Linked DNA regions of Coturnix japonica. The main gene of each other region encodes a partner of the protein of the gene in region 6 in a complex. Links are inferred from orthologs where the notes say so. Each region holds a gene or a part of one and is shown on either strand. Other genes may lie near its edges.

Region 1 (3,773 bases), on a different chromosome or scaffold from region 6:
AAAGCCCCCTCCAGCTTCTCTCCCATCCCACAAGGAGGACAGTGGGTGCAAGCAAACTGCTGTGTGGTGCTTAGCCTGCCACGTTAAACCACAACAGCCCTATTCTGATGATCGTGAGTTCTACTGGAACATAATTTTTGTTAAGCTTAATACTGAAGAGTATTTTAACGTAATTCTTCTTTGAAAGACTATACAGAGCAAACTCACATCCAACTTTAGCAGCTTTTCAACAATAAGTTCCAGAATCTGAAGCCTCAGTGTTGGAAGGTACACTGTAACTCGTAGTAGGTTATGAACATAACATTCCTATAACACAAAATTAAGAGATATCTATAAGAATGTTAACTGAAAGTCTAGGATGTCAAGGATTTTTACAAAATATATTTCCTAACTTGTCATTTAAAGAGACAGATACAGGTGAAAAGTACCTTTTTCCAAGTATCTCCAGCAGAATAAGCATAAGTCATCAATTTCCATATGATTTTTTTTTTGCATAAACCTTCCCAAGAACATGAAAACAACAAGCATATTACTCAAAAATTCTAGAATCAGGTCTAGCAGCACTGTTTGAAGCGAGGCCAAGAGATCTTCATTTCTGGTTACTATAATAAACAGACAATTCTAAGTACCACAGCTAAACATCCTTAGAGTTTTTCTGATTACAATTCAAACAGATTAGAACCAACAAGTTCTGTAAGTGAACATGCACTCCCACACATATACAAACGCAAATGGCAAAAGTGCAACTTTATAGAGTAGAAGTGTCAAGCTAATACATACAAGCAGCTAAAAAGACACATTTAAGTGCACCACAGTCTCTTTGTAAGTATGTAATATAATGCAACCCTTAATTACACAAACACACACAATTTTTCAACAGGCTATATTGCTCAGCGCATATAACAGACAGCACCAGTTTAATGACAATCTATAAGCTGAAAATATTCAGCAACAATGCACGGTCAACATGTCAATTATGCTCCACTTGAGTCCCACCCTGAAAAAATTTCTCCACAATGCGCATCTCAGTGAAATACTTAAAATAAATAAATAGATAAATAAATCCCTTAACATCCTTTGAGCAACATCTACCTCATTTTGCAGATACAGATTTGATGCCCAAAGCTATTTGGATTTAAAAAAAAAAAAAAAAAAAAATCTAGCAAGAAGTGCCAAGTATTCAGTGCAGGGAGGGAAGAAGTAGTTCTTGAGAGGTTCAAAACAGCTCCATCTGACTTTAATGAGTAGAGCAAGCAAATGACAACATATCAAGTTGTAAAGAGTGAAAATAAAGACCATACAGGAACAGTAACTTTTCAAAGTCTCCAGCTTGCTTTCCACCACACAGGAGCATCGTAACAGACATGTAATAAAACTACACAATAACCTATCCTATAGATTTCATCTAAATCATCCATTGCTTTCTGTCTGCCTATCAAATTCCTTGTTCTTCCAAAGAATACTTTCTAATTTTTACACTGAGACAGGTATTCCACATTATCCTTACTACACAACTCTGAGACTTATTATCAAAGAAGGCCATCTTGTGCACTGATTAAGAAAACAATCACGTGGAAAAAGACATGCAATTATCTCATTAAACAGCTGCATAATGCTTATGCACAGGGAACTTAAGCATGTTTGGACAACCTTTCATGATACAGGCACACCTGGACATATGTTTCCATAGTTAAAAAATTACAAGAGTTTTAAACGACACATTCAAAAATCTGCATAAAATACCACCAAATCAATCATTATACGGTAGAGTGTTTTCCTATATTAAGAAGTGAGTGAACAAATAGATGTAATATTCACAGTTCTTACCAGAGTTCTTTCTGATTTATTAATGAAAGGAAATTTTTCCACAAGTATTGGCATAAGAAACTGCAGTGTTCTGCATTAAGGGGGAAAAAAAAAATACAGTTTGTTATCATGAGAACAAGCTCCAGCACTACAAAAACAGACTGGAATCAGTTTATTCTTACTTCACAGTAATGTTATTTTAAGATAACTGATTACATAACATTTGTTCTGTTACTGCAGAGACAACAGGCAGTAAACTTTTACTGTGGATTTGTTAAAAGCTACCTCAAGTCAGCTGCTATAAGCATGACTTTCCTTGTGTTTCCTATTGCTATTAACAGGATTGTCAGCTGCTGATGTCTATTGGCATTTTACGATTGGATATAACATCCTATCAGTTACTGGGCATTAGGAAGAGTCATTCAATTAAATTAAGTATTGCATTTCCAATATGGAGAAGAAAAAAATATATATATTTTTATATATATTTTTATATATATACCTTATATATATATATATATATGTTCTTGAGCTTTATATCCAAGCTTTATTGTCATAAGAAAAGAGCAGAAGAAACCAAGGAATTAAATACTTACGAAGGAACATATCTTGCGACAGTCTGCAATGCTCTGTGGCATGTATCAAAATTTTCAGAAAGGCCTAGAGAACGAAGAAGGTGCTATTATCCATTTGGTTGCAGAAAACTAACTCAGGAATCAATTAAAACAGTTCAAGTCAGTTAAACATTTTAAAGATCCCCAAGGAGACGGCATTCACTGGGTTTTGTTGTCAGGGTTTTTTTGGTTTTTTTTTTTTGCATTGTTTTTTGTTTTTAAGTTGGACTGCCCAACTACTAAAGTAACTATGAAAATTAACTCCAAGTACAATTCATGTTATGCTAACAAATTCTTAATTTGCCACCACCACCAAAGCCAGGTATTGTTGCCATACTACTTACGCTGAATGCCTAACTCGGAAACTGAAAATTTACACCCCCCAAAAAAAAAAAAATTTTAGAAAATATCATAGTATCATAGTCTCGTGCGGGTTGGAAGGGACCTTAGAGATCATCGAGTCCAACCCCCGGGATTCGAGCCTCTGTGTAGCAGAGCAGCACTTCTACCTCTTGTGCCACAGGGGGGATTAGAACTCCGAGCCCCAGTGTTGCAAGGTGGCATTCCTACCACTGCACCACCGGGGCACACTATACATTAAAATCAAGTGAGAAACTAGATAAAAATAAAAAATTATGCCTTATTTAGCAAGAGTTAAAACAAGAACACAAATAATTAGGCTTCTTTAACAATAATGAGATGAGCCACCTGAATTCTGGGAAATGTTTTTAAACTGGAAGAGAGCAAGATTTGGACTAGCTATTATTAGGAAGAAATGCTTTACTGTAAGGGTGGAGAGACACTGGAACAGGTTGCCCAGAGAGACTGTGGGTGCCCCCTACCTGGAAGCATTCAAGGCCAAGCTGGATGGAGCTTTGAACAAGCTGGTCAAGAGGGAGGTGTCCCTGCCTACAGCAGGGAGGTTGAAATGAGATGATCTTAAAGGTCCCTCCCAACCCAAACCATTCTGTGATTCTATGATTTTTTTTTCCCCTTGAATCCAAACAGTGCCACAAGCAAACACCAGAGGAATAGGTATGTCAACCCAAGCTGAAATTCAATACAGCATTCAAGATACAAAGATGCAGATAGTTAATTATCCTGTAAGAATTCAATCTGTCTAATCAATAAACACATAGTTTTCATTATTTATATCAATTGTATTTGAGTTTACCACAAGCAGACAACAAAAAGCCTCAAGAATTTCCCAAACAGACCAGTTTTATTGAAGTAAGTAAAATGAAAACAGACAACTCCTCCCTATCCTTTGGCTTTGACACTATCTAGGACTAAGAATGCTCTCCTGAACATTCAGCTTGAATCTTAAAAATACTGCACCAGTAAATACCAGTA
Region 2 (3,589 bases), on a different chromosome or scaffold from region 6:
CTGGTGACCCATTACAAGTGGTGTCCCCCAGGGGTTGGTACTGGGGCCCATCTTGTTTAACATCTTCATTGATGACCTAAATGAGGGGATTGAGCGTACCCTCAGTAAGTTTGCAGATGACACCAAGTTGGAAGGAGGTGTTGATCTGCCTGAGGGTAGGGAGGCCTTTTAGAGGGATCTGGATAGGCTGGATCTCTGGGCTGAGGTGAATGGGATGAGGCTCAACAAGACCAAGTGCCAGGTCCCGCACTTTGGCCACAATAACCCCATGCAGCACTAAAGGCTTGGGGCTGAATTACTGTGAAGAGGAAAGGGACCTGGGGGTGTTGGTTGATGCTGGGCTGAACATGAGCTGACAGTGTGCCCAGGTGGCCAAGAAGAAAAATTTTTAGGAAATCAGTCATAAACAGTAAGTTACGCAACATGTATAGTGAGAAAGTTGCTTTCATGCTGCATCACACACTGTTCATAGGTTAAGACAGCCTACTAATTAGGATTGCCACATCCAGCCCTGAGTGGATTTTGAGCCACGTTCCAGCAGCCATTTAAATCAGCATCCATACAACTGAACGTAAGATTCACTCCACAGTATCACCAACACAGATTCTATAGTATAATTACCAAGTAGTTCAAGGTAAGCCTGAAATTACTGATTGTTTGTATTTCAGAGAAATCTAAAACTGATAGCAAAGAAATTCTTCAGCATCATCTGTTGATTTACATAATTATTTTATTACAAAATAAATACAAACCAAATGCTTTTAACAGAAATATATATAAAAAATATCTACTGGAGTTGACAGCTCATCTCTTTAGAGCAGCTTTTAGACCAATGCCAATAAAAAAAAAAGCCAGTTTCAAAAGGGTAAAAAGAATGCAGCAAGACCATCAAGACACCTTTTAATCACAGTTGTACAGAGGAATCTCAAAGACCAGATATGCTCAGGTAGGCACTACTGTGCTTATTCACAAATTTCTTGAGAGTCCGAAACTTTTTCACCTGAGCTCTGCAGCCTTGGCGTGACACGTATTTAAAGTACTTGCAATCTAAGCAAGAGAAGAAAAAGCCATGTCAGCTTTGTCATACAAGCAAACAAAACACTTCTGCTTTTTAAGTAACACACAAGCATGCAAGTACCTATTAAATAAGGTAATAAAACAATCAAAGACATACACATTATCAACATAATTGCAGCATCAAATTACTGAGACCTAAACAGGCTTTCAACTCAAGAAACTGTTCTACAGAGTCTGGAAGGTAAGGTACAGAACTGAAAGAATAAAGCTTCTAATTAACTAAAGGCCCAAACTTAATAGATAAGTTATGCTCTCCACACCATATTCTCATTCTGAACTTCGTCACCACTTCTTGATTTCATCAATGTTTCAGTGAACACCACCATAGAAGTCCTGATCTTCATTTTTTTTTTTATTGGACAGTGACTATTTTCACTCAAGACCTCCTTCCTCCTCTTTTCTATGCTTCATCACTCACAAGGTCCTTAAGGATCACCTCACCCTCAGTATTTGCTAAGACATTGCTTAGACTGTAGCTCAGTGAGCAAACTTTCTGTAGCCTCAGGAGCCTGCTGTATATTTTTGAAATTGTGGTTTCAAGGTTATAAACAGAGTCTGTAGTATTGTGACTGCTCAACAAGGCCAAATAAAATTGAACTCAAACCTGGGATAAGGCAAGTTATGCAATGTATGTCTCTAAATGAGGAATATCAAACCATTTTAAATGTTTTTCTCCCATAGAACTTCAAAGACCACAGTCTTTCCTAGAAGAAAGAAACAGCATTCTTCCAGGGAGTAGACCAGCTGCATCTTATCTCATTAGGGCTAGAACTAGGTGTTTTTTCTAGTGTACACAGTGTGAAAGAACATTTAGTATTACCCTTTCCTAGTAGAACTCCAGCCACCAGAGCTTTTTCATACGAAAGGATTTCATTTTCCTGCCAATTCCTCTTTGCTAAGTAGCGGCTAAAATGGAAGGCTGGCCACCAGTCCTTTCTGGAGTTCCACTCCTTCTTAATCCAGTTAAGATGCTTCTCAGAACTGCAAAAAGGTAAAACAAGAAAAACTGAGATGAAATAGTAAAGAGGAGGCACTGAGTTTTATAATCAGCTTGGTGTGCTGGCAGACTTTGACACTACACTGCAGGCTGAACTATTTAAGCAGCAATTTTCTTTTTAAAAGAAAAACTTTGGATAAATCTATGCATAATTAAACACTACTGTATTTCATATACTTACCTTACTCCATTAACTCAGTGGAGTTAACTCGGCAGTGGAGACCTTACAGTATTTTACAATTGAAAACAGGGAAGTGATATTCCTATAAAGTGATTAAGATGCCCTGTATATTTCAAGGTACTCTGAAGTTGTGTTCTCAAAAGCAAAACTACAGGCAAAGTTGAAGTATTGTACCATTTTTCCTAACTATATGCAACAACACTCTCAGTTTTAATCCATTAACTTTCGGGCCTTCTGAGTATGTAGAGGCAGCAATAAAACAGCAAAATGGGTCAAGCGGTACTAAATTGATTCATTGTAAGTATACAAGGCTTAAAAGAAAAATTAAAACCTCTACTTTTGGGGAAAAAAAAACCCCAGACATTAGAGACCTTCTGAGCATGGATTGCCTGGAGATGGAGCTCCTGAAAACAGAGTCCTCCTCCCAACACACAAGCAAGTATTTATCAGTCCCCAGGCACTCTGACTTGGCTTTTAAGAACACATTGTATTCTGAAGAAGTTACCACCAAAGTTATCAAAGAAGAACACGACACAACAGCACAACGCACCACATCCCTTTTGCAGCACACTCATCCTCAAATCTGCTGCAACCAATATATGTTTAATAGCAGAAGACCAAACAATGTTGTTGGGTTTTTTTTCCTCCTGGAAGGAGAACAGTGACAGGCAGTAAATGTTATCCAAACATTTGAACAGCATTTTCTGCATAAACACCTCACCTGGTAATTCAGCTAATGATAATACTGGAAATTTAAGAATTTCTCTCAGTAATAATTTCTTCTTTCCTGCCACTGAAAGCATGCTGCAGCCAAGCACAGCCACAGATCTCAGTACAGGCCAGCCCACTCTTCCACTTGCCATCATGAAAGACAAAGACTACAGAAGAGTCACTTTGTCAACTGCCCGCAGGAGGAGATTTGACACATACATTCCTCTTTTAGCACCTTACATCAGTTACACTCACATTACAATTTGTTTCACCTGTCTCGCCAAACAACTCCATGCTTTTACACTTTCCTTCCAGCCAGCATAATCCAAGACTGCAAAAATAACTTCTAGCCCCAGTCGACGTCTTTTTTGTTTCTCTGGAAAGAAATTAGGCTGATAAATGAATCAGTTGGATTAATACGAACTTACTAGTAAGCAACAGGGAAAACATTCTCCAAACTGCCTTCCCACATACCGCTGCTTTCCCTATTACTGAGGGCTCCCCCCACTGCTTTCTGCCTCTTCCAAGAGAGAATGCCAAGGAAGTGTCCATGGGTCTAGAGCACACTTCACTGCAGAGACCCTCCTTAAATGCTGCTGACTCAAAGAGGCACACAAGACCAC
Region 3 (2,650 bases), on a different chromosome or scaffold from region 6:
CTCTAACTGTTCTTTCTGAGACAATCTCTTCTTGAGGTTTGAGCAGAGAAGTCTGATCCAGCAAGCAGTGGAAAGGTGGGTTGTTTTGGCCAGGCAGTCCCAGGCTGCACATACATCCTATATGAAGCCAATGAAATGACTGACAAGTGGGAAGCTTGCACTCATACCAGCAACAGAGCAGTGCAGGTGTTTGGCAAGACTCTGATCCTGTTCACAGTTACATGCATTAATTCTCACATCCATTGCCTTCAGATGTATTTTACCTAAGTGAGGAGCACTGCGCCACCTGATTTACTGTTTTCTGTGATGGAGCTGCCAGTCTGCCCCAATTTTTAACAAGACACTATAGGCTGACTTCAGTGAAAAAATGAGCTCCGCTAGCACTGCAACCTACTAAGAGTAATGCCTCATTCATAGCAAACAAACATCCTCTGTGCTGTTTCTGGAGCCTGGAACTTTGCTCTCTTTCTAACCCCCCTTGATTGCCCTAGCTTCAAACACTGTATTTCTAACCTCAAAATGACCACTGTGAGGAAATAGTGAGATGGAAGTGTATGCTGAACTCTACCCAGCAACTCCAGGAAGGCCACAGGCAGAGGCTTCCTCTAGTTCAACATTTTACATAGACAAATGATTGTATTTCATAAAACACATTTATTTTTTACGGGCAAAAGCATCCTAAAGTTCACAAAAAGAAACCAATAACAACCTGTATGTAATTAAAGAGAAACATCTACATATGTAAGCTGTAGCTGTGAAGTGGATGTCGGCCTTCATTTATTTCCTTGGGAGAAGCTGGTGGCTGGGTCAATCAACTCTCATTTCTCCAGCGGTGCGTAATTCAACAGCTTCTCAATCAGATCCACGTGTGCCAGGAGCATCCTGCGGCAGCAGTAGCGCTTCAATCCGAGGGCATCCAGGGCATCTCTATTAACAAATAACAACACGATTAAAAGAAATAAATACAAAACGAGTCAGAACCGCTCGTAAGTGCTCCTAAGCAACGCAATGATTGCTCTGAGCTTAGTTTAAAGCAAGGTATTAGCGTGTGCTGTTAATATGACACCCACCCCTCGGTGTACTCCGCCTGCAGGAGCCCGAGATACGCCTCCCACTTGTTGCCCACGATCTTGCCGCACGTGAAGCATCGCACCGGGATGATCATGGTTCGCACAGCGCCGCTTCCTCCTGCAGCTGCCCGAGCGCAGCCCTACGGCCGCTCCCACTGCACCGGGGGGACACGGGCGGTGCGAGCCGTTCTTGCTCAGCCGTGAGGATGCAGAGCGGCGCTGGAGCTCCCCCGTTCCCGCACAGGACGGCGGATGGTAGCGGCCGCCCTACGGCTCCTTGCGCGGCTCAATAGTGTTTGCGAGCGGGGCGGGCTGCTGATCGCGTTTCGCGTGCGCGGCGCGTGGTGGCAGCCGGGGCCGGCGGAGCGCAGAGCGGAGACACCGGCGGGGCGGGCTGAGCCGAGCCGAGGAGGCGCCGTGCCCTTCCCTCCCTCCCTCCTTCCTTCCTTCCGCGCTCTCACTTGTTGCTTTACACCCGGACTTCTGCAGAAGGCACTTCTTCATCGCGTCCTGCTCGAGGTACCGCAGCCGCGCGGGGTGGAAGCGCAACTGGTGGCTGCAGCCCGGCGCCAACCAGCGGGGCACGGCAGCGCTGTGGGACGGGGCAGCACGTCGCACTCCCCTCCCTTTTCCTCCCTTTTCTTTCCCTTCCCGGTGCGCGCACTGGTAGCGCCAGGCGCGGTCCGTCTCGCGGCTGTGTTGGCGTCCCCAATTTGGGGCGGTTTGCTCCGTGTCCTCGCTCCCCTTTGGAAGGGGAAGGAGCCGGGCAGGGGCTGCGCTCCGTGAGCTGCGCTCGGCGCCGATTTGCGCGGCGTTGCCCGCTCATTTGGAGGAAGCCGGGCTGCGGAGCGCTGCCGTGGTCAGCGGGGTAAGCGAGGTTAGCGGTCCCGTGGCGGCGGCAGGTCAGTCGGGAGTTGCTGAACTCCGGGTCTGGGGGCTGTGGGGGGTGATGTGGGGGGGTTCAGGGCTGCCCGCTGTAGCGTTCCTCGGTCTGTCGGCGAGCCGCGCGCAGCGAAAGCAAACGGGGCATAAGCCGTCCTTGAGGCGCTATCCCGCTCCCCGGAGGGTGGAGGCGGCCGTGGCACCGCGAGCGTCGCGTTGCAGCTTTACTGGCTGCCCCCAGCCGGGGAAGTTGGGCTGCAGCGGGGGATGCGTCGTGAAGCCGCGTGCGATCCTCCCGTGTGAGCGTCGCGCGGAGTGCTGCGCTATGCGATGCTTGTAACTTGAGGGCGGCACGTTGCTGTTCGGGACAGACTGGGTTAAAGCGTCACCCCGAGCGCTGTCGGTCCTTAGTGCCCTCTTGCTTCACGGTTGTCCTTGGGCAGAGCGGGGATGCACCCAAAATACTGTATTTTGCTGCTGGAGCATCTGCGAGTTGATACGGCGCGCGGCGCAGAGCCATTACTGTCAGGCGTATAAAGTCTTAATGCACAGCTTATGTTAATACGCCTTTCGTGCCTGTGTTTTGGACCGCTGGGTTGCTGACCCTCCGCGCAGACCTAACTTGAACTGTAGAGGAGCAAATAGTTTCGTTTTAACCGGCGAGGTTGTTTGAAGGAGGTTTTGCAAACGTTTCCTAA
Region 4 (4,555 bases), on a different chromosome or scaffold from region 6:
CAGCGTTTGCTCCTCATCTTCCCTTATGCTGCACTTCCAGCAAGCCAGACCTTTGCAGCTGAAAGAAATAAGCCAGCAAGAAGCACAAACACATCCTACCCCAAAGCTGCACCAAACCACTATCTCAGTAGCTCCCCAGAGGAATACAAACATAGGAAGAATAACGATGCCAAGTAGAAGGGAAAGACTGAGACCAAGGTATGCACACTGGCCAGCCCCTGCTTGTTTGTACAAAGCAGAATCGGGCTGGGCACTCTGCTCTGCACAAAACAGGCTACTTACAGATGTAATGATTTCGCACCCTGGCCAGGCGCACCAGGTTTTTCAGACCCTCGTGTCGGAAGACTTCCCTGCTGAACGTGTCCAACCGTGCGTTGGCTACTCTTGCCACCTTCTTTCCTAAAAGGAGAAGACAAAACAAGGTGGGCACCGGCAGCAGATGAGCACCTTGGGGTCACAAAAAGTACTTACCCCTCAAGCAGCAGAGGCAGCAAAGCCACATATAATTAGCACATCCCTAACATGAAACTCCAGCTTGGCAGAATTCATTTCCTCGAACAGTTCTAAGCCAAACACAAAGCCTGTATGTGCTCCTGGGCAGGACACAAGTCCTCCCCGTGCTCAGCTGTTACAAAGAGCAAGCTCGCTACCCAGACACCTAACAGTAGCACAGGGCTCTACAGACAGGCATGCAACACATAAGCATTTCAGGGAGATCTCAGTTCACTGCTAAAAACATTTGTGTGTGACAGCCACTCAGCCACTACAACCAGGCTCAAAACAGCACCAACTGTTGTTGATCAGCAAGACAACATCGCAATGTGTTATTTTCCCAACAAGGTTTGACTACAATCTCTACTGTCTCTATTCAGTCACTGCTAAGACTTGTTAGGAACGAGGCACTTTACAGCTGGAAAGAAAGTACCCTTGACGTTCTGGATCTCAATGACTCCAGGGGAAAAGCACTTCTGTAACGTCTCGGCTGCCTCATCCTCGATAGGCTGCAGGAGAGTGATGTCAGGAAGCAGTCGATAACTAGCTGTGGCCACAGGAGAAAACTTGGCATGATCTTTACCTGCACAAAGAGTTCAGAATTAAGGATGAGGACAGGCCTTGGGGTCAAGCTAGTTCTCCAGTGTTTCCCATCACACAGCTGTGCTCGAGTCCAAGCACCAGCACACCCACTCCCCAGCTCAGACCCAGCACTCACCTACACCCTTGACGCAGTGCATGAGCACATCTATTTCCTGCCCAGGTCTCAACAGTGCTATAAGGATGTCGTCGTGGACAGGTCGGAAGTCAGCATCCGGAAAGAGGTCTGTCTGATTCCCCAAGGGAACCCATGTCATGTGCTTACTGTACACTGCCAAAAGAAACCACGAGCATCAGCCAGCTGCTGCCTCAGAAAACAGGTTGCTGACCTGAATAGGAGATGGCACAAGCAAGCTATGTATACTGTGAGGAAATGAGCTGTCTCTGCTCACAAGGCAAAACACCAAGAGAGAGAAAGAAGAAAATGAACAAGAGAAAAAGCAGAAAGCTGCACCTACTTTTAGGGCAGGCACAAGGAGCTCTCACCTTTGTGATTGAAATACAGCTCGTTTGGGTCAGACGATTCCTTGGCTGCCTGAGGATTCCGGCTGCATTTTATTTTCAGCTGGAACTGCAGAGTATCAATTTCCGTCCCCTCTTCATCTCCTGGAAATGGCAAAACAGTATCTTTATGGAAGTGAATTCTGCTTTGTTGAAGTGTATCCAGGGGAGGGACACATGAATGACCCAGTGATGGAACATCTCTCCTACGAGGATGGGTTGAGAGCTGGGGCTGCTCAGCCTAGAGAAGAGAAAGCTGCAGGGAGACCTGGAAGCGGCCTTTCTGCACCTAGGAAGAGCATGCAAGAAAGAAAGGGACAGACTCTACAGCAGGGTCTGCTGTGATAGGAGAAGGGGAAACGGTTTGAGGCTTAAAGAGGGTAGATTTACTTTAGAGATAAAGAAAAAGTCTATTACTGAGTGAGAGTGGTGAAAATGAGGGTGGTGAGGCACTGGAACAGGCTGCCCAGAGATGCGGCTGATGCCCTGTCCTTGCAGACTTACAAGGCCAGGCTGGGCAGGACTCTGAGCACCTGGTCAGATGTAGGAGTCCCTGTATGTTGTGGGATCGTTGGACCTGATGGCCTTCATGATCCTACGGTGTGACCCCAGCTCCTGGTTATGGGCTCCACCCTCCCCACCGCTGTTCGACCCGAGCCCCTCACCTTGATTCCTGTACTCAAAGAGCCGCGGGTCGGCCCGGATGGGGATAAGGCCCAGTCGGTGCGCCAGGATCTCGTCCTGCACGATGGACGTGTTGTTGTACACAAACACCTTTTCCACAGCCATGGTCGGCACCTCGGGGGGACGACAGAGCGAGGCGATAAGCCGCCAAGCAGGGCACCGCACGGGGACCATCCACTCGTCATGTCTCCCAGCCCCGCGGTACCTCAGCGAGCAGGATGCGGCGGAACGCGTTGGCGATGGCCGCGTCGATGCCCACCATGTCGAACTCGAGCACGCCGTCCTCCTCCCGCACCACGTCCACGCGGAACCCCTGCTCGGGAACCGCGCCGCGTCACGACGGAGCCGAACAAGGGGCCCCGCAGCAGCAGCTCCATCAGCTCCATCATCTCCATCAGCTCCCACTCACCTCCTCGAAGCGCCGCTGGTCCCACGCGTCGTCGTACCCGGGGTAGTTGCCTGGGAAGTCAGTGGTGTGGACCTGCGGGGGGCGCAGCCCGTGAGGCAGCGGGGGGTGATGCGGGAGCCGCCCCGCGTCCCGCCGCCCCACGCACGTTGCGGACGCCGAACTCGCCCAGCACCACGCGCTCCCGCATCTCGTCCGTGCCGCGCCGGGCCGCCATCGCCGACGGAAGGACGCGCCGCCGCCCCGCCCCGCCGCACGTAAGGCGGCCATGCGGAACTGACGGCTCTCGCGAGACACGGAGCGGCCGGACCGTCACATCCGCGTTGCCGTCCCCCGTTACCGGCGCTATGGCCGCGGCGGGCGGCAGGAGCGGCACCGCCGAGTGGGGCGGCTTTGAGGACAACGTGCAGGTGGGGCCGGCCCGCGGGGGGGGGGACAGAGGGGCCCGAGCGGGCGCTGACGATCCGTGCATCGGAGCAGGGCGGCGGCTCGGCCGTCATCGACATGGAGAACATGGACGACACGTCGGGCTCCAGCTTCGAGGACATGGGGGAGATGCACCAGCGCATGAAGGAGGAGGAGGACGAGGAGGCGGAGGGCGAGGCGGGGGCCGGCGGGGAAGAGGACGGCGAGTTCCTGGGCATGAAGGGGCTGCAGGGGCAGCTGGGCCGGCAGGTGGCCGACCAGGTGAGTGGGCTCACGAGCCGCCAACAGCCCCGCCGGCCCCGGCCCCGCCGCTGCACGTACCGTTCTGTCCGCAGATGTGGCAGGTGGGGAAGCGACAGGCGTCCAAAGCGTTCAGCCTCTACGCCAACATCGACATCCTGCGGCCATACTTCGACGTGGAGCCCGTCCAAGTGCGCACCAGGTGGGCAGGGCAGCGGGTGCACGGGATCTGTTGCTTCTTAATGACTGTCCTGATGTCGTTCCCCGCTGTGCCGTAATGCAGGTTGCTGGAGTCCATGGTGCCCGTCAAGATGATCAGTTTCCCACAGGTGAGTTCTCTCTCACTGAACCAGACCCCACAGCCTGAGTGACTGTTCCACAGAGACCCCTCAGATGTAATTAGCCTGTTATTAAGGATCCAAGTCTGTTAGATGTTCACCTCCCTCAAAGTATCAGTAAACCCTTTCCTATGGTTGTTCCAAACCCCATTCTCATAGAATTGTAATCATAGAACATCCTGAGTTGGAAGGGACTCATAAGGCTCACCTGGCTCCATACAGCACCACCCATAAATCAGACCATATAGCTGAGATCATTGTCCGGATGCTTCTTCAACTCCAGCCAGCTCACTGCTGTGACCGCTGCCCTGCACAGCCTGTGCCAGCGCTGCCTTTACCTTCCTGCTACCCTTAACGCTGGTACAGTTGTAGAACTCTAGACCTCACTTTGCCCATTTCTGCATCCTGTTGAACACCACTCTGACTCATCACAGTCTGTTCTGTGTGGCTTCTGTCAGCAGTGGCCTTGCAGATGCTCCTCGGGTGATAAAAGTCTCCAAGATGCTCGTTATGTCTCTCAGGGTGGAGAGCCTGGAAGACAGGAGCACTAACTAAGCCTCATCTCTCTCTTTACATGTAGAAGATTGCAGGTGAGCTTTACGGACCCCTCATGCTGGTCTTCACGCTGGTGGCCATCCTGTTGCATGGGATGAAGACCTCGGACACTATCATTGTATGGCGAGTCTCAGTGATTCATTTGTGCTTTGACCGGGTTTGGGATTGCTATAATGACACTGGAAAGGGAGAGGAAACCTCTTCTGTATCACAAGAGCTGAAAAGCAGATTTGATCTGAGGAAGATCCTTTTGGTTTTGGAGAGGGGAGGAAAGTTGCATCAGAAAGTCCCAATGCTCTGTAGCTGGGAGAGA
Region 5 (4,418 bases), on a different chromosome or scaffold from region 6:
GGCAAAAGCTACTTCTCAGCAATCAATTTGGCAGCTGCAGTGCACTCACTGTTCAGATGTGTAGGTCCAGTTCTAATCAGAATTGAAATTTAGTTCATTTCTGAGTCACTCAGCAGTTGAACAGAAACATTCATCACGTGAACTGCAGAATGAGCAGGACTCCACACCCACCTCACTGCATTACCCTGCCAGAACCCCACTCCTACATCTAGTCTGAGCAACCGCAACAAGTTCCCATTCATGCTACAAGATCAGCAGATAGTCCCTGTTGTGCTGAAGGGCTTCTATCTCTGCTCAGTCACCTTCGTAAGACCCCACTCTGGACTGAGGAGGGGAAGAAGGGAATAGAACTTTTCATCACACTGCTAGTTGTTTTAAAGCAGCTTGAGATTATGATATTGGATTTAGGAGAATTAGTTTATTCTACACTGCTTAATTACAAGAGCTGGAACTCTTAGTCCTGTAGCTCTGTGACCTGCTGGTTCCACAAGCCAGGCTGCGGAAGGTGCTATTTCAGCAGGATCACTTAGCAGCAGCATTCTTCTTCAATCACTCCAGCTGACTTTGCTCGCTTTGTTTTGGCCTTTGATTTCTTCTTCTTGTTGGGAATTTTGCTGCTTATAATGAAACAGCTTTTGTCCTGAGAACAAAAAAAAACAGCATTCTCAAGTCTGGTTTGGAGACACTTGAAGTACCAATTTATTACTAACTTCCTTTAGGAAGTTTTATGGACGCTTCAGAGAACTGCCCAATTTCCGCACATCCCAACATAATTCCAAAGAGCTCAGACTTCTCTCAAACCAATTTCCTCTTGTACTACACACCAAAACCACACAAACTGGTTAATTCCAGATCCAAGCTCAAGAATTAAGTACTCAAAGCATCATCTGTTACTTATTTAACACCTCAAAAGAGAAAACAGGTTATAGTTTTCAAATTATGGATGTTTACTCACCACTACTCTGACATCAAAGTCTTCTGGATTATCAGAGCCCAAGCAGTTATCATCGTCATTGCTGAAAGGCAGGAAATTCAAATCAAATCTGTACTTCTACAGTAGCGCAGCATAAACAAGCTGTTCTCCTAATGCAGCACCACTTCCTCATAATGCATATGGAAACGCTACAGCTTACAGGTCTGGGATGCTCCCACTTCTACATGAGGCTACACTGAGAGCCTGTGGAACAAGATCCTTATCTAAAGCCATGAGCTGTTACTTATTTTCTCTCTCTGCTCTTTTAAGGATGAGGAGAGAGCACACAACACAGCAGTGCTAAGCCAACAGAATCCATTACTGAGTTACAGAAAAATCCAAGAGGTATTTCACCAATTAATATAATGCACGTGCCAGACAATAAAGACAGCAATGCTGAACACACAGACTTTAAGTTGAGAACAAAACAGCAACTTTTATACTACTGAAAATGAACTTACTTTGTCTCCTGGATAGGAGAAATGGGGCCTTTGTCATCTAAATATTTATGTTTCCGCGCTGTCAGACATTCCCTTTCTAAGTCTTCATTTGCTTCAAGGGATTTCAAAGCCTTTTTGAGGTGTTCTTCAGCTTTAAGCATTTCAACATACTGGAAATATCCCTTCGCAGCTGCTTGCTGCAAAAAAAAGGAATAGATCTTAAATACAAACAAAGAAATGAACCATTTATATAATCAACCAGACTGTAACATTAAATGACAGCCTTAGGTCAGCTGGTTCTCTCCCACAAAACACAGGGCTCACCTCATAGCTAAGAACCATATTTACGGGAATATGTTTCCTCCCATAATGTTTTTCAACAAAAGGGAACTGAAAGCCTGGATCCCGAAGCCTTCTCCTTCGCTCCTGAGGCGGGGCTGTCATGGGCCGATTCCCACCACGCTTCTTTGGGGGTTCCGAGCGTCTCTTTGTCTTCCGTGAAACACCGCTCCTGTATCTTCGGTGCGCAGCAGTTTTAAACTTCCTTCCTCTGAAGTGATAGGCAAAAATGGCTTTCAAATCGAGCTTGGATTTCCTCCTTTGGGAGGGTTCAGGTGGCCTCACCGGGCTCTCAGGGAGCAAAGAGTCAGGACTTTCACCATCAGACACTCGTGCATCAGCTCCTGCTTGTTTCCTTGAAGGCTGCGATCTCCTCTTTTGCTCCGCAGAGGGAGCAGTGCATTTCCTAGAGCGTTTGCTGCCCCGAGCAGCTGAAACATCACTGAAAAAGAAACGTGTACATTCAACAGAGCACATACGTTTATGAGTCTTGTTCGTAAGTGATTCTAAGGAACCAGGTAACTCACATTTCTGAATCGCTGCTATCCACCTCAGATGAAGATGTATTTGTACTACTAGTCTCATCTGAAGACTCCTCAGGAGTGGCGTCCTTCTGCCTCGAGCACAAACGTCTCTTCCTTGCATTCACTGCACGCTCAGGTATTTTAGATCTTTTTCGCCTCTGAGTGGATACGAGACTCTGAGCATCAGGATCATCAGAACAAGAGGTGTGGGATTCATCTGTATCACTCATGTTTTAATCTGCCCTGAAAGAAATTAAATATGTTTTACCCCAGGCAAAGCTTTTCACATCCAAGGAACGTATGTGTCTCCCTCACAGTAGCCCCCTCCCGCCCACCATCCCGGGGCGGACATTTTGCGCGGTTCCCGCCGCTCTACCACAGCCCCGGGCCGCCATGAGGAGCCCATTTCCCACATCCCACCCGCCCCAGGGCCTTCCTTGCGCTCCGTCTAGGAATCGCTCAGCGACAGGATGTGCTTTGATTCTACCCCAGCCTCACAGCGGGTCCTCACACGGCGGATGGCAGCGGATTCAGCGCACCGCCATCACCAACCCAACACTCACCTCACGCTTCACCTCCGGAAAGGGCGCGCAATGGCCGCCCCCGAGCTTAAATAGCGCTCGGCTCTCGCGAGAGCAGGACGGGGCGGGGAGTGCCGTGAGGGGGGCGGGGATGGGCGGCCGCAGGTTGTGGGCATTGGCTGCGGTTCCCGCTCGCTGTGGGTCTCCAGAGGGTGGCTCCTGCAGGTTTGGCTCCGGGACTCTTTTTAGACTCTTTTTACCCTCGTTTACGTGGCCTGAATTTCCCTTCTCGCTTCTCTGCTGAGTTCATCTGCACGTTGGCGCTGTCCCTGTTGGCTCTGTGGCTCTGGCTGTGCTTCCTTCTCCCCCCAGCCCCCCGCTATGAAGCGTTTCTATCCAGCCATTAACTTCTCCTTTCCGTTTTCTGCCCTTTCCTGCTTGGAAAAGAAAAGCCGCAGTGTCTCGACGTGTCGGTTGTTTCCTGCCATCCCGTTTGCAGCGTTCCTGTGACAGCTTCCTTCACAGAAGGGAGAATCGCCCATAGAAGCGGACGAGCCCCCAGCTAAGATGGAAATCACTCTACATAGACAGCTTGCTTTCTTGCTCTATTGCTTGTTACAGGCAGAACTTGAGGTAGCTGAACTTTGAGCTCAAAGTCTCGCTTTTTCTTCCATGAAAGGTTCCTATTTTGTTACGTGCAGCAGGCGTGTGCCTAAGGAGTTAATGATTTCTGGGGCTGGTTTATAGGTAGCATGTAACCAGCTGCTTGTGCCTGGAGCTGCTGGTTTGCCCTCGTAGCAGGTTATGCTGTTGCATGACTGAAATATAGCTCGTTTCAAAAGAAGCTCCAACATTTCTGTTCTGAACAAAGCTTGCTGTGAAAGGCTCTGAGCTGATATAGAGTCCAGTGCTGTACAACTTGCTGCTGCTTTGGTGCCTTTGTTTGGCTTTGAGATGCACTACAACCTTCTTCCACTTTGGAAACACGTGCCTATAAGAAACTGGGAGCCAAGGTTGAAAGTCCATCATAGCCAATGCTGGAAAAGTAAACATTAAGGTAGTGAAGACCGGGTAAGGCAGTTATTGTGCTTAGAAAAGCGTGGCTTTGGGTTTACAAAGGACAGATAACTGACCTGTCCCTTGAATTAGGTTCAGCGTATTACATATTTTGTCTGTACTGAGATGGAAGTTTGAGGACTAACAGATGTAATGCTCTGAAGCAGCTGCAGAGCTGGTAGGCACACCTGCTTCCAAAGCACATAGAATCATAAAATCACCAAGGTTAGAAAAGACCTGAAAGATTATTCAGTACAACCATCCACATATTACTAATAGCTGCCACTAAACCACTAATAGCTGCCACTAAACCATGAGAAAACACTAATCTTGAAGCTGTCAGTTTTTCCCTCAATGGTATAATAACAATTCTACTGTTATCTATGTATTCTCGGGTGAATTTGACAGATAAATTGCATATTGAAAGCAGTGTGTTTTTAATTACTAAACCATTATCTTTGTTGACAGATCAGTCACTTCTGCAGTGTGTTACACTGTAATTTCTAACCTGAAGAAATCAGAACCAAGCAGGCAATGGCCAAGGTAGAGAAGTTTGCTTTTCATG
Region 6 (4,422 bases):
GGCAGCATGATCAGGATGTGGACATGAGGGGAATCTGCGTTCCCCTACCTGGTTTCTCACCTGTGTACTGCAGCAACAGCAGCTCCTGAGTATGAGAGGTGCCCAGCAGCACTTTATGACTCCTTCCAGACTCTCCCGGCACAACATCAGCGAACAGAGGGGGGAATTTCATCATGTGTGCCCATTTCAGCACAGGCACCAGCGGCAAACGCTCGTCCAGCAAGTACACGGCAAACTGAAAGGGGGCAAAACTCAGCAGGGTGCCCCCCACCTGCATCCAAACCAGATGCACGAGGTGGGTGGGGAGGTCTGGGGACACTGAGCCATGGAGGACTCACCTGGGTGGCAACGAGGTACTGGCAGGGGTGAGCCCTACCCAGGTACATGGGCAGTACCACGCGTTCACCCTTCTGGCACTTGGCTTCCTCACCCACCTTGAAGAAGTTGAAGTGGCATCTAGTGGGGGCCTGCAGTGGCATAACAGGGTGCTGTCAGCACCATGGGGCTGACATAGGTCACCCCACAGCCCACCCTGAACCCCGTTCTCATGCTCACCCGAGTATCCAGGCACAGGATGCCAGTGCGGTCAGCACAGCTCAGCACCCGCGGGTGAGCAGTGAAGTCACTCCAGCGCCAGGGTGAGTGGTCCCGGAAAAACAAGGTCTGGGGGTCATGGCGGAGCCGCTGCAGCCTGTAGGGAAAAGGACAGAGCTCTTCCTTGCTGTGGGGCACCCCTGCCTCCTGCAGCACCAAACACTGGGGATCAGAGCCCCAACTCACCCTGTCTCTATGTTCCATAGATAGACAGCTCCACTCTGCGTACAGACTGACAGCTCCCCAGGCAGGTGTGGGCTGTGGGGCAGAGACATGGCGTTACATTGGAAGGCTTGTAGCTGAGGACCTTCCCAGAGCTCTGTATTCCCACCACACACCTGACGGTGAGGCAGGAAGCTGGCACATCAGTGTGGATGACCTGCAGTGAGCTGGGGGCAGCCCCTGTCTTGCCTGACATCCTCCAGACACCACAGTAATAGTCAGAGCGAACGCCAACAAAGTCTAGTAGGAGACAGGAGAGAGGGCAGATGAGAGAGCAGGGATGCCACTATCTCTGTATGCAGTGCACATGTCCCAGGGCTTACTCACCCTGCCCATCCACCCGGGCAGCAGCTACTTGCCGGATGCGCCCGTTGAGCTCAAACTGCACTGGCAACCCCTGGGCCCGCGGCTGCTCCTCCAGCACCACATTCTGGAAATCTGGAGTGCAGGCTAAGGGCACTGCCACACAGTGCTCCCCTGTCCCAGAGTCCCCCAAGTATCATAGGAAAGGATACAGAGGTGGTTCATGGCCAACCCGCCAGGGTACACCAGGCATCCCATGTCACTGCTTGCATCCTGAGGGGGCAGCCAGGCTAGTGCTCCCCCTGTGGAACTGTCATCGAAGAGCAGTCTGGTCCACTGTAGCAGCAGCTCTTCATGCACGCAGTCGGCCAGCAGTCCCAGTGGCACCTCAAAGAGCCAGTCCCGGCACAGGTGAGAGAACAAGCGCAGGTGGTTGGCATACGGATGCCGAGGGCAGCCACTGTGAGGGGACAATCAGTGCCAGGTAGGTGTCGGAGCCCACCGCCCTCCCAACCCAGCAGCACTCACCGCCTGGCTTCCATATTGTTGATCTTCTTCACCATGGATGTCATACGGATGGTTGTGTCCTTGGCACTGCCTTTCTGCAGGGAGGAGAGAAGTGCCACTATGAACAGAAAGGAGGGGGTACACCAGTGCCCCCCTCAGCATCACCAAGGACACTGACCCCGAGGCTGTAGTCTCCCAGGTGGAAGTTGTTGTGCAGCAGCTGCCCCAGGGAGCTGAAGGCGTCCTCAGGATGATCCACAAAGAAGTGCCCTAGCTGCGTGGGGACAGCAGTGTGGGGCTGTGCAGTGATGTCATGGTGGAGCTCAGCCCTGTCTCCTCAGCAGCACCCAAGCCCTGTACCTGCTTGGCAAAGTCCAGCGCAGCCCCAGACTTCCCAGTCTGCAGCTTTCTATGCAGGACACCGTGGTAGAGAATATCCTGAGCGGTCACACTGGGGACCGAGCAGCCTGTGAGGGGGCAGGGGGCGGCGGGGGGGGGGGGGGGGGGGGGGGGGGGGGGGGGGGGGGGGGGGGGGGGGGGGGGGGGGGGGGGGGGGCTGCCGAGTGCGTCCCAGCACCAGGTGGCAGCCCCATTCTCAGCCCCCCCTGTGCCCCCTCAATCCTCACCCACGTTGGGCGGCAGCAGCGGCACCGCCGCGGGCTCAGCCGGCGTCCAGCTCTCCCCCTCGTGGCTGCGGAGGGGCACGAACGGCGGCAGCACCTGCAGGGACAGCGGGGAATGGAGGTGAGGGTCAGTGCCCCCTCAGTACCCTCAGAGCCCCCTCAGTACCCTCAGAGCCCCCTCAGTGCCCACAGAGCCCCCTCAGTGCCCACAGAGCCCCCTCAGTGCCCACAGAGCCCCCTCAGTGCCCTCAGAGCCACCTCAGTACCCTCAGAGCCCCCTCAGTGCCCTCAGAGCCCCCTCAGTGCCCACAGAGCCCCCTCAGTGCCCACAGAGCCTCCTCAGAGCCCCCTCAGTGCCCTCAGAGCCCCCTCAGTGCCCTCAGAGCCCCCTCAGTGCCCTCAATACCCTCACTGCCCCCTCACTCATTGCCCCCCAGGCCTCCCCCATCCCGTTCCCCCGTTACTCCTCACCTGCCGCCGTCCAGGCCCGGCCTGCAGCACCTCTTCCCGCTCCCCCCATCCAGCGGCCGGAGCCGGACGCCCCTCGTCCCTGGTGGGGCCGGATCCGAAGTAAGAAGGGAAGAGCACGCCCGGGAACTCCATGGGCGGTACCGGGGGCGGTAATGGTGAGCCCGGTACCGGATCCGGACCGGAAGTGCTGCGCACGCGGTCCCGACGCGGTAGGAAGTTGGATGACCGGGAAGGGCGAGGCCTAGAGTGCGACAGCGCCCCCTAGCGTGTGGGAGGTATCATGGCGAGCAGAAAGCGGGGCCGCGCCGGTTGTGAGTGACAAGCAGAACCGCCAATAGGAAAATTGGGGAGGGAGAAAGGGGGCGGGACGGATGACGTCATGGTCGCCCCTGCGCGGCGGGGCTGCTGGAGCCGCGCGCCCCTCGGCAGCCGGCGCGGTGGGATGGGGCGGCGGGGCGGCGGGCGGGGGCGGCCGCTCACACCGATACCCCTCCTCCGCCTGCCCCTGCTGCTCCTGCCCCTCCTCCTCCTCCTCCTCCTATGGCCGCCGCCGCCCGCCGGTGAGTGTCGAGGGGCCGAGGGGGTCGGGGAGCTGAGCGCTGCGTGGGGGATGGGGGTGAGGAAGGGGGGAGGTGTGTGCTTGTATTAATGGGGTGAGGATGGAGCGCAGACCGTCCGCAGCATCTGCCCGCCGTGGGATGACAGTGTGTGTGATGGGGTGCGGGATGTGTGTGCAGCGAGATGTGGGGTCAGTGTGCAGCAGGGCACGTTGATGTGTGGGGTACCCCACATTACACCATGCAACTGAGTATAGGGTGCGTGGGCAGTGGGGCAGGACGTGTGAGCACAATGGGGCATATTCATGTGTGATGGGAGATGGCAGTGGGGTGTTGGCATAATGGGACATGGAGATGTGTGTTCGGTGGTTATGCTTGACAATAAGCAGGCTGTGGGGCACGCGTGCAATGTGGTACATAGGGAGGGCTCAGAGGTGTGCGTGCTGGAGGGACACAGGTGGTGTAAGTGCACAGGGACACCCAGAGAGAGGGGTCAGACTCATGGTCAGGGGTTACGGGGATCTGCAATTGCAGCGTGTCACCTGGACAGAGGGCTGTGAAGTGGGGCAGCAGGGATGCATGCAGTGCGGGGGATGTGTGTGCAGTGAGGATGAGTGGGGGGACACTGGAGTGAATACGTGATGAAATGAGTGTGCTGTCGGGCTCTGGAGCTGCCTTCATTTGGGGGCTGCGGAGGGGTATGCGGTGTTGTGTATGGGGGATCACGGAGGAAGGGGGCCGAGCTGTGGAGTAGAAGCGCTATGGGGCCCTATGGGGCGGCTGGGGGAGCTGTCCGTGGTCCTGAGCCCGACATCAGGTGAGCTGTCCGTGGTACTGACCCTTCTGGGAGAGGAGGTCGCCTCTCTTCGGCCTCTGGCCTGGGGCAGAGGCGCTCTTGCTTTTCTCCTTTCTCTCTTTCATAGATAGGAAATTCTGTTCCATCTTCCTGCTTTTCTGCCTGTGCTGTGGCCTCACTGCCGCAGGGCTCCAGCCTGACTCTCCCTGTGCACCTGTGTGCCCTCACTTTACCTCAGATGAGTGGGCTCCAGGAAGTGTAATGGGGTCAGGAAGCTCTGCGTGCTTTCCCCATGCCATGTCCTGGGAGCACGTTCACCATCTCTTTCTCTTTGAGGTCCACTGCCAGT
Region 7 (4,511 bases), on a different chromosome or scaffold from region 6:
CACATAAAAGGAGTCGTTTTTCTTGTCTTTGACCAGCTCTTCAAAAATCTGGTAGTCTGTGAAATTAACTAATGCCTGAAAGACAGATGCACATCAGATCAGAAGAACAGTCGTGGCAGTATCTGGCCATAAAACAGCAGAGGTTGGGTACCCCAATGATTTAGGTTTTCGGTCCTCTGGAAATGGAAAAATACTGTGGGATTAATGTACTTCAAGAGCAGCACAGTGGATATGAATGAGGTGATGATCACAAGTGGTTCCAGTCTAACAAAACCCTTGGAAAAACAAACAAACAAACTTGCATCCTCTATCTTAAAAGGCTTCTTTTGTCTCAAGTTAACTCCTTATCTCCACAGAAGTCAAAAGACAGCTTAGCCTATTACAATCCACTTCAGCTTCAGCAATTCATTTTCTACATCTCATGCTTAAATCCTGTGTTCTGAGCACTTGGTGTTATAATGTTTCCTAGTTGTTTATGTCAGGGTTTAAGTGACCATTCTGCTCACCAGTAACTGGCTGACAAACCTCCCCCATCTGTAAGCAAACTGTCTCTCCACTACATTTAAAAAGCCTTCAAGAAGCTCACAGAAAAAAAAAAAAATGGGAACGGCATGAAAAAGACACGTAGACAGATTTCTTTATTAAACGGCTGATGAAGGGGGCATGCAAACCCATGGCATGATATTCATGGAAGAATTCAAACTTTAGACAGTGCAGCCTGCTTAGCTTATGACATCCTGTAAGCTAAAGTCAGTATAATGCCCTTGCTTATTAAAACACAGGGTAATTACCTATCTCTGCTGACTAATTTTAAGTCCTGAACACAGGAGGCTGAAAGAACACGTAAATTCCCTGAGACCAGACAAGCTGTGGTGCCACAGGCCACAATTTGCCCTAACCCTTAGCTGCTGTGTAACACACAGCTGAAGCACCCAGGCTTTGCTGTTTTTAATGGAGAAATTTGGAAAGGCTTGACTAACATCAAGCTTTCCCTGCTACTTAAAGAGCAGCTTAACTGCACCCAATGTGCTCAAACTGGCACTACTGGTTTTGTCTTCCAATTCTTAAGTGTTTCCAGTTCCAAACAAAAACAGCATTTTATTTTTCTCCTTTAAAAAAAGAAGAGAACCAGTTTACTGGTTTCCTTTTATATGAGAGCTTGACTTTAATGATTAACACTGTTATAGTCGAGGCTGACCTAACAGTTTCTTAAATGGTCAATGAATTATAAAAATACTCCTAGGATCTTTCTGGTTAGGTTACAAGCCCTTACATCCTCCACGAACTATTAATCCACAACATTCATTAGCAGGAAGCCATAATACTTTGGCATAAGCCTGCATGCACTTCCTCTGCTCCACCTGCACACTGCATCACACATGCAGGCTCAGTTTGCTCTACAGTTCTTCAACCAACATCGGAAATATGACCGAAAATACTTAACATGGCATCAGCTGCCTCTCATTACTCATGAAAATAGAAATGCTTAGTGAAACTTCTGCATTTATTTAACACAGAAAGAGTGTAATGTGTATTATTTGTTTACCTTTAGAGCAAATCCCAAGGGAAGGAAGAACAGCTCTTTCTGAAAAATGAAGTTCAACATTACGCAGCCATTTTCCAGGTAGTGAAGGTTCATGTTTATTGCGCTGTGCTCTTCTTTAACACAGTGCATCATTATTCCTGCAGGAATTAACAGAAGCAAAAGCCAACATGAGCTAAGCAAGAAATACAGACAGCACTTATGTGAGATGTCCGAGCCGGTGTGAGATGATTCAGTAGATCAGCACAGGCAGCTCAGAAACCACCTGAAAGGCAAGCACTTGCCTCATGCATCACTATGGTGTTACCAACCACTTGGTTTCCTATGTAGTACAATTTACCTGAAAACATGAACACCATGCAACAGCAACAACAAAATAGCAGCTCTAGTTGGTCATCCCTGTTTGTTTATGAGCAGCTTCTGGAGGGATGTGGTAGCAAGGCCTTTAGCTTACCGTACTCTGTGAAGCCAGGACCTCTGTTTTTCCACTTGTGTCTCGACAGTGCAAGAGGGAAGTTGCGCCTGGGCATAATCAGCATTCTAATAACCTTCTCTAAGCCGTTAATTATGAAGTAGCCCCCCATTTCCTGTCAGAAAGAAAAGGCTTTTAATGCGCTTGAAGTATAATTTCAAGTAAAATAAGAAAACGCTTCTACTATGTTATAAAAACACTCAAGCCTAACACTGGCCTAATATACTGCATGTTGTCCTGATACACAAGATCCTCGTTACCTCCTCCTCCTCGTGGTGCTGGATGAGCTCTTGGGGAGAAAGATTATAAAGGTTGCACAATTTGGACTTCACCATGATTGGAATATACCCCACAGGCTGTTTAATGGTCCCTTGTGGAATGCCATTCACTGACCAGCTGATGTCAACCTAAAACGATACAAAGCCAACAGTGAGCAGACTGAGCTGGACTCGTTTTGTTCCCGGTATAATAACCGCAGGACACAGCTCTCTGAACGCTTCCCGAAGCCGTAGCTGAGGTAAGAAACCCGCTCACCGTCAGCCTCCCGCGGTACGTGCTGCGCAGCCCGCGGCACTCGGCCGGGAACACCTTCACCTCGTGGCACAGCGTCCCCTTGGGCACCAAGGGCGGCGAGATGGCGACCCCCACCACGGTGAGCGCCACGCGGCCGTCCTTCAGCGCCAGCTCCAAGGGCGGGATGTCCTGCAACACACGGCAGCCCACAAGTCAGGGCGAGCTCCACCAAGCGCCATCCCCGCAGCCCGCTCGCCCCCCCCGGCACCTGCAGCGCTCGGTACACCCCCTCGCTGATGGCGTAGTTGAAGGACTCGATGTGCGCGGCGGTCAGGTCTCGCCGTACTCCGCTGCGGGGCCGCTGCCGCCGTCTCAATCGGTGCGGCTCGTGGGCCATGCCCTGCTCCATGGCGGCCGCCATGCTGCCTCCGTGCGCCTCCTCCGCTCCGCCCCGCCCCGCCGGCTGCCGGGACACTGCGGGGCGGGGCGGGACGGTCGCGAGGCGGAGCGCGTGCTGCCGAGTGCTTCCCGCCCACGGCCATGGCAGCCATCGCTCCTGAGTGCCGTGCCCGCCCCATGTAACAGCGCCCTGTGCCATGACAGCAGTGCTCGTGTCCCACAGCACAGCATCCCCCTGCACCGCGTCTGGCTGTGCTGCAGCCCTCAGCACCAATCCCCTCAGTGCCCACATCCCGCTGGGCCGCATCCTTCACTGCCTGCATCCCCAAGTCCCTCAGTGTGCCAGCAGCCTGCCCGCCCTCACGGCCCCATGGTGGTGGCACACACACAGATAAGCAGGAGGTGCTTATCTCTACGGAGCAGGCTTGCAGCTCCTGCCTGCACCAACACCATTATCAGGCCTACAAATCACACCCCAAAATCCCCCCAGGTATTTGGCACGTAGCCCTGTTGGTTTGCCTTTATCTTGCTCTTGTACCAAACCACTGCCATGGGGCTTGATGCGCTCCTTGCACCGCACTGGTTCCTCCATCAGTGGATCTGTCACCCCACTGTCCCAAAGAAACACCGCAGCCATGGAGATTTGCTTGTTTTAATGATGCTTGAGGACAGACATGGACACGGCGGCTGGAAAAGCACAAGCTGGGAGCCCTGCCGGCTGTACACGTGCATGCTGACGTGCAGGCGGCCAGCACGGAGACCCAGAGCCATGGCAGGAGTGTCCCATGCACCCCCAGCATCGGCTGCTTTCCGAGCCATGTCTCTCTGCAGTAGCTGACAGTGGGAATGAGGCACCACCATTAACGCATGTATGGCATGGCACAGCTCCCACAAGGAGAGCTGCACGCAGAGAACACTAAATGATAGGACAGGGGACATGCAAGCAATCCTAAAGGGCACTGATGACAACAGGTCACAGCAGCTGAGTGAAGCAGCATATAAGACCTCCACAGACTTCTCCGGTGTTTGTCATGGCCTTCGGTAGGAGCACAGGAGCTGCTGCTGCCACACGGGAGTCTGCAGAAACCCAGAATCCAGCTGGACCAGTCCCTGCTGGTCAACAGCCAGGGCACCTGCATCCTACATCCTTCATGGCTGATGCTGAACTAAGTCTAGAGACAGCCCGCCATATGGTGGGTATCTTCTTGAAACCTAGCACCATCCTTTGCAAAAGCTTAGGAAAGAGACTAAGACCTATTCTACTGCCCTTTGAGCTGAAAGGAGCTAGAAAACATCTGGTTTTGCATTTTTCTAAGAAAAAAAAACACCACCCAAAGTCTCTGAAGGTTTTGCGGGCATTACTTGCAACAGCTGCAGTGCTCAGGCCTCAGCCACACGCATGTCCCCTCCTGCTTGGCTAATACATGGGACAAGAGCTCAGACACTGTGCTGTCTGTCCTCTATCATTTCCCACCCGTGCTTTATCTCAGTGAGCATGCTGAGGGCAGGTGGTAAACAGTGGCAGGCAGTACCTGCTGTTTTCCTCCAGCAGCTGTTGCTTATCTTTAAGAATTCAATAGATAC

The links.
Region 1: TAF1C (region 6) and RRN3 share a complex: the UniProt entries of both Homo sapiens proteins name them as parts of the pol I pre-initiation complex. The link is inferred for Coturnix japonica from reciprocal best matches to the Homo sapiens genes TAF1C and RRN3.
Region 2: TAF1C (region 6) and TAF1A share a complex: the UniProt entries of both Homo sapiens proteins name them as parts of the transcription factor SL1/TIF-IB complex. The link is inferred for Coturnix japonica from reciprocal best matches to the Homo sapiens genes TAF1C and TAF1A.
Region 3: TAF1C (region 6) and POLR2L share a complex: the UniProt entries of both Homo sapiens proteins name them as parts of the pol I pre-initiation complex. The link is inferred for Coturnix japonica from reciprocal best matches to the Homo sapiens genes TAF1C and POLR2L.
Region 4: TAF1C (region 6) and POLR1C share a complex: the UniProt entries of both Homo sapiens proteins name them as parts of the pol I pre-initiation complex. The link is inferred for Coturnix japonica from reciprocal best matches to the Homo sapiens genes TAF1C and POLR1C.
Region 5: TAF1C (region 6) and TAF1D share a complex: the UniProt entries of both Homo sapiens proteins name them as parts of the transcription factor SL1/TIF-IB complex. The link is inferred for Coturnix japonica from reciprocal best matches to the Homo sapiens genes TAF1C and TAF1D.
Region 7: TAF1C (region 6) and POLR1B share a complex: the UniProt entries of both Homo sapiens proteins name them as parts of the pol I pre-initiation complex. The link is inferred for Coturnix japonica from reciprocal best matches to the Homo sapiens genes TAF1C and POLR1B.

Annotation. Positions count from the first base shown.
Region 1 is NC_029529.1:40,717-44,489, forward strand, and holds part of RRN3 (RNA polymerase I-specific transcription initiation factor RRN3), read right to left. Parts: intron 2,467-3,773; coding exon 2,403-2,466; intron 1,898-2,402; coding exon 1,828-1,897; intron 307-1,827; coding exon 208-306; intron 1-207. UniProt on the Homo sapiens protein: Required for efficient transcription initiation by RNA polymerase I (Pol I). Required for the formation of the competent pre-initiation complex (PIC).
Region 2 is NC_029518.1:15,725,648-15,729,236, reverse strand, and holds the end of TAF1A (TATA box-binding protein-associated factor RNA polymerase I subunit A), read right to left. Parts: intron 3,343-3,589; coding exon 3,222-3,342; intron 2,059-3,221; coding exon 1,898-2,058; intron 1,048-1,897; coding exon 926-1,047; 3' UTR 713-925; downstream 1-712. UniProt on the Homo sapiens protein: Component of the transcription factor SL1/TIF-IB complex, which is involved in the assembly of the PIC (pre-initiation complex) during RNA polymerase I-dependent transcription.
Region 3 is NC_029520.1:8,951,650-8,954,299, forward strand, and holds POLR2L (DNA-directed RNA polymerases I, II, and III subunit RPABC5), read right to left. Parts: upstream 1,249-2,650; 5' UTR 1,166-1,248; coding exon 1,071-1,165; intron 928-1,070; coding exon 819-927; 3' UTR 635-818; downstream 1-634. UniProt on the Homo sapiens protein: DNA-dependent RNA polymerase catalyzes the transcription of DNA into RNA using the four ribonucleoside triphosphates as substrates.
Region 4 is NC_029518.1:27,798,641-27,803,195, forward strand, and holds the start of POLR1C (DNA-directed RNA polymerases I and III subunit RPAC1), read right to left. Parts: upstream 2,944-4,555; 5' UTR 2,901-2,943; coding exon 2,832-2,900; intron 2,759-2,831; coding exon 2,687-2,758; intron 2,591-2,686; coding exon 2,483-2,590; intron 2,392-2,482; coding exon 2,259-2,391; intron 1,699-2,258; coding exon 1,579-1,698; intron 1,364-1,578; coding exon 1,211-1,363; intron 1,076-1,210; coding exon 926-1,075; intron 400-925; coding exon 283-399; intron 59-282; coding exon of another isoform or gene 24-58; exon of another isoform or gene 1-23. Other genes in the region: protein YIPF3, read left to right, coding at 3,031-3,093, 3,164-3,370, 3,445-3,551, 3,633-3,678, 4,268-4,360. UniProt on the Homo sapiens protein: DNA-dependent RNA polymerase catalyzes the transcription of DNA into RNA using the four ribonucleoside triphosphates as substrates.
Region 5 is NC_029516.1:166,172,771-166,177,188, reverse strand, and holds the start of TAF1D (TATA box-binding protein-associated factor RNA polymerase I subunit D), read right to left. Parts: upstream 2,950-4,418; 5' UTR 2,840-2,949; intron 2,520-2,839; 5' UTR 2,507-2,519; coding exon 2,280-2,506; intron 2,195-2,279; coding exon 1,738-2,194; intron 1,611-1,737; coding exon 1,435-1,610; intron 1,017-1,434; coding exon 956-1,016; intron 641-955; coding exon 527-640; 3' UTR 1-526. Other genes in the region: C1H11orf54 (ester hydrolase C11orf54 homolog), read left to right, coding at 4,388-4,418. UniProt on the Homo sapiens protein: Component of the transcription factor SL1/TIF-IB complex, which is involved in the assembly of the PIC (preinitiation complex) during RNA polymerase I-dependent transcription.
Region 6 is NC_029547.1:8,327,092-8,331,513, reverse strand, and holds the start of TAF1C (TATA box-binding protein-associated factor RNA polymerase I subunit C), read right to left. Parts: upstream 2,945-4,422; 5' UTR 2,853-2,944; coding exon 2,721-2,852; intron 2,347-2,720; coding exon 2,253-2,346; intron 2,094-2,252; coding exon 1,987-2,093; intron 1,901-1,986; coding exon 1,805-1,900; intron 1,722-1,804; coding exon 1,648-1,721; intron 1,580-1,647; coding exon 1,332-1,579; intron 1,255-1,331; coding exon 1,144-1,254; intron 1,057-1,143; coding exon 933-1,056; intron 853-932; coding exon 781-852; intron 692-780; coding exon 556-691; intron 468-555; coding exon 339-467; intron 236-338; coding exon 61-235; intron 1-60. Other genes in the region: TMEM8B (transmembrane protein 8B), read left to right, coding at 3,100-3,280. UniProt on the Homo sapiens protein: Component of the transcription factor SL1/TIF-IB complex, which is involved in the assembly of the PIC (pre-initiation complex) during RNA polymerase I-dependent transcription.
Region 7 is NC_029518.1:13,944,360-13,948,870, reverse strand, and holds the start of POLR1B (DNA-directed RNA polymerase I subunit RPA2), read right to left. Parts: upstream 2,995-4,511; 5' UTR 2,950-2,994; coding exon 2,797-2,949; intron 2,718-2,796; coding exon 2,550-2,717; intron 2,423-2,549; coding exon 2,276-2,422; intron 2,131-2,275; coding exon 1,998-2,130; intron 1,684-1,997; coding exon 1,547-1,683; intron 76-1,546; coding exon 1-75. UniProt on the Homo sapiens protein: Catalytic core component of RNA polymerase I (Pol I), a DNA-dependent RNA polymerase which synthesizes ribosomal RNA precursors using the four ribonucleoside triphosphates as substrates.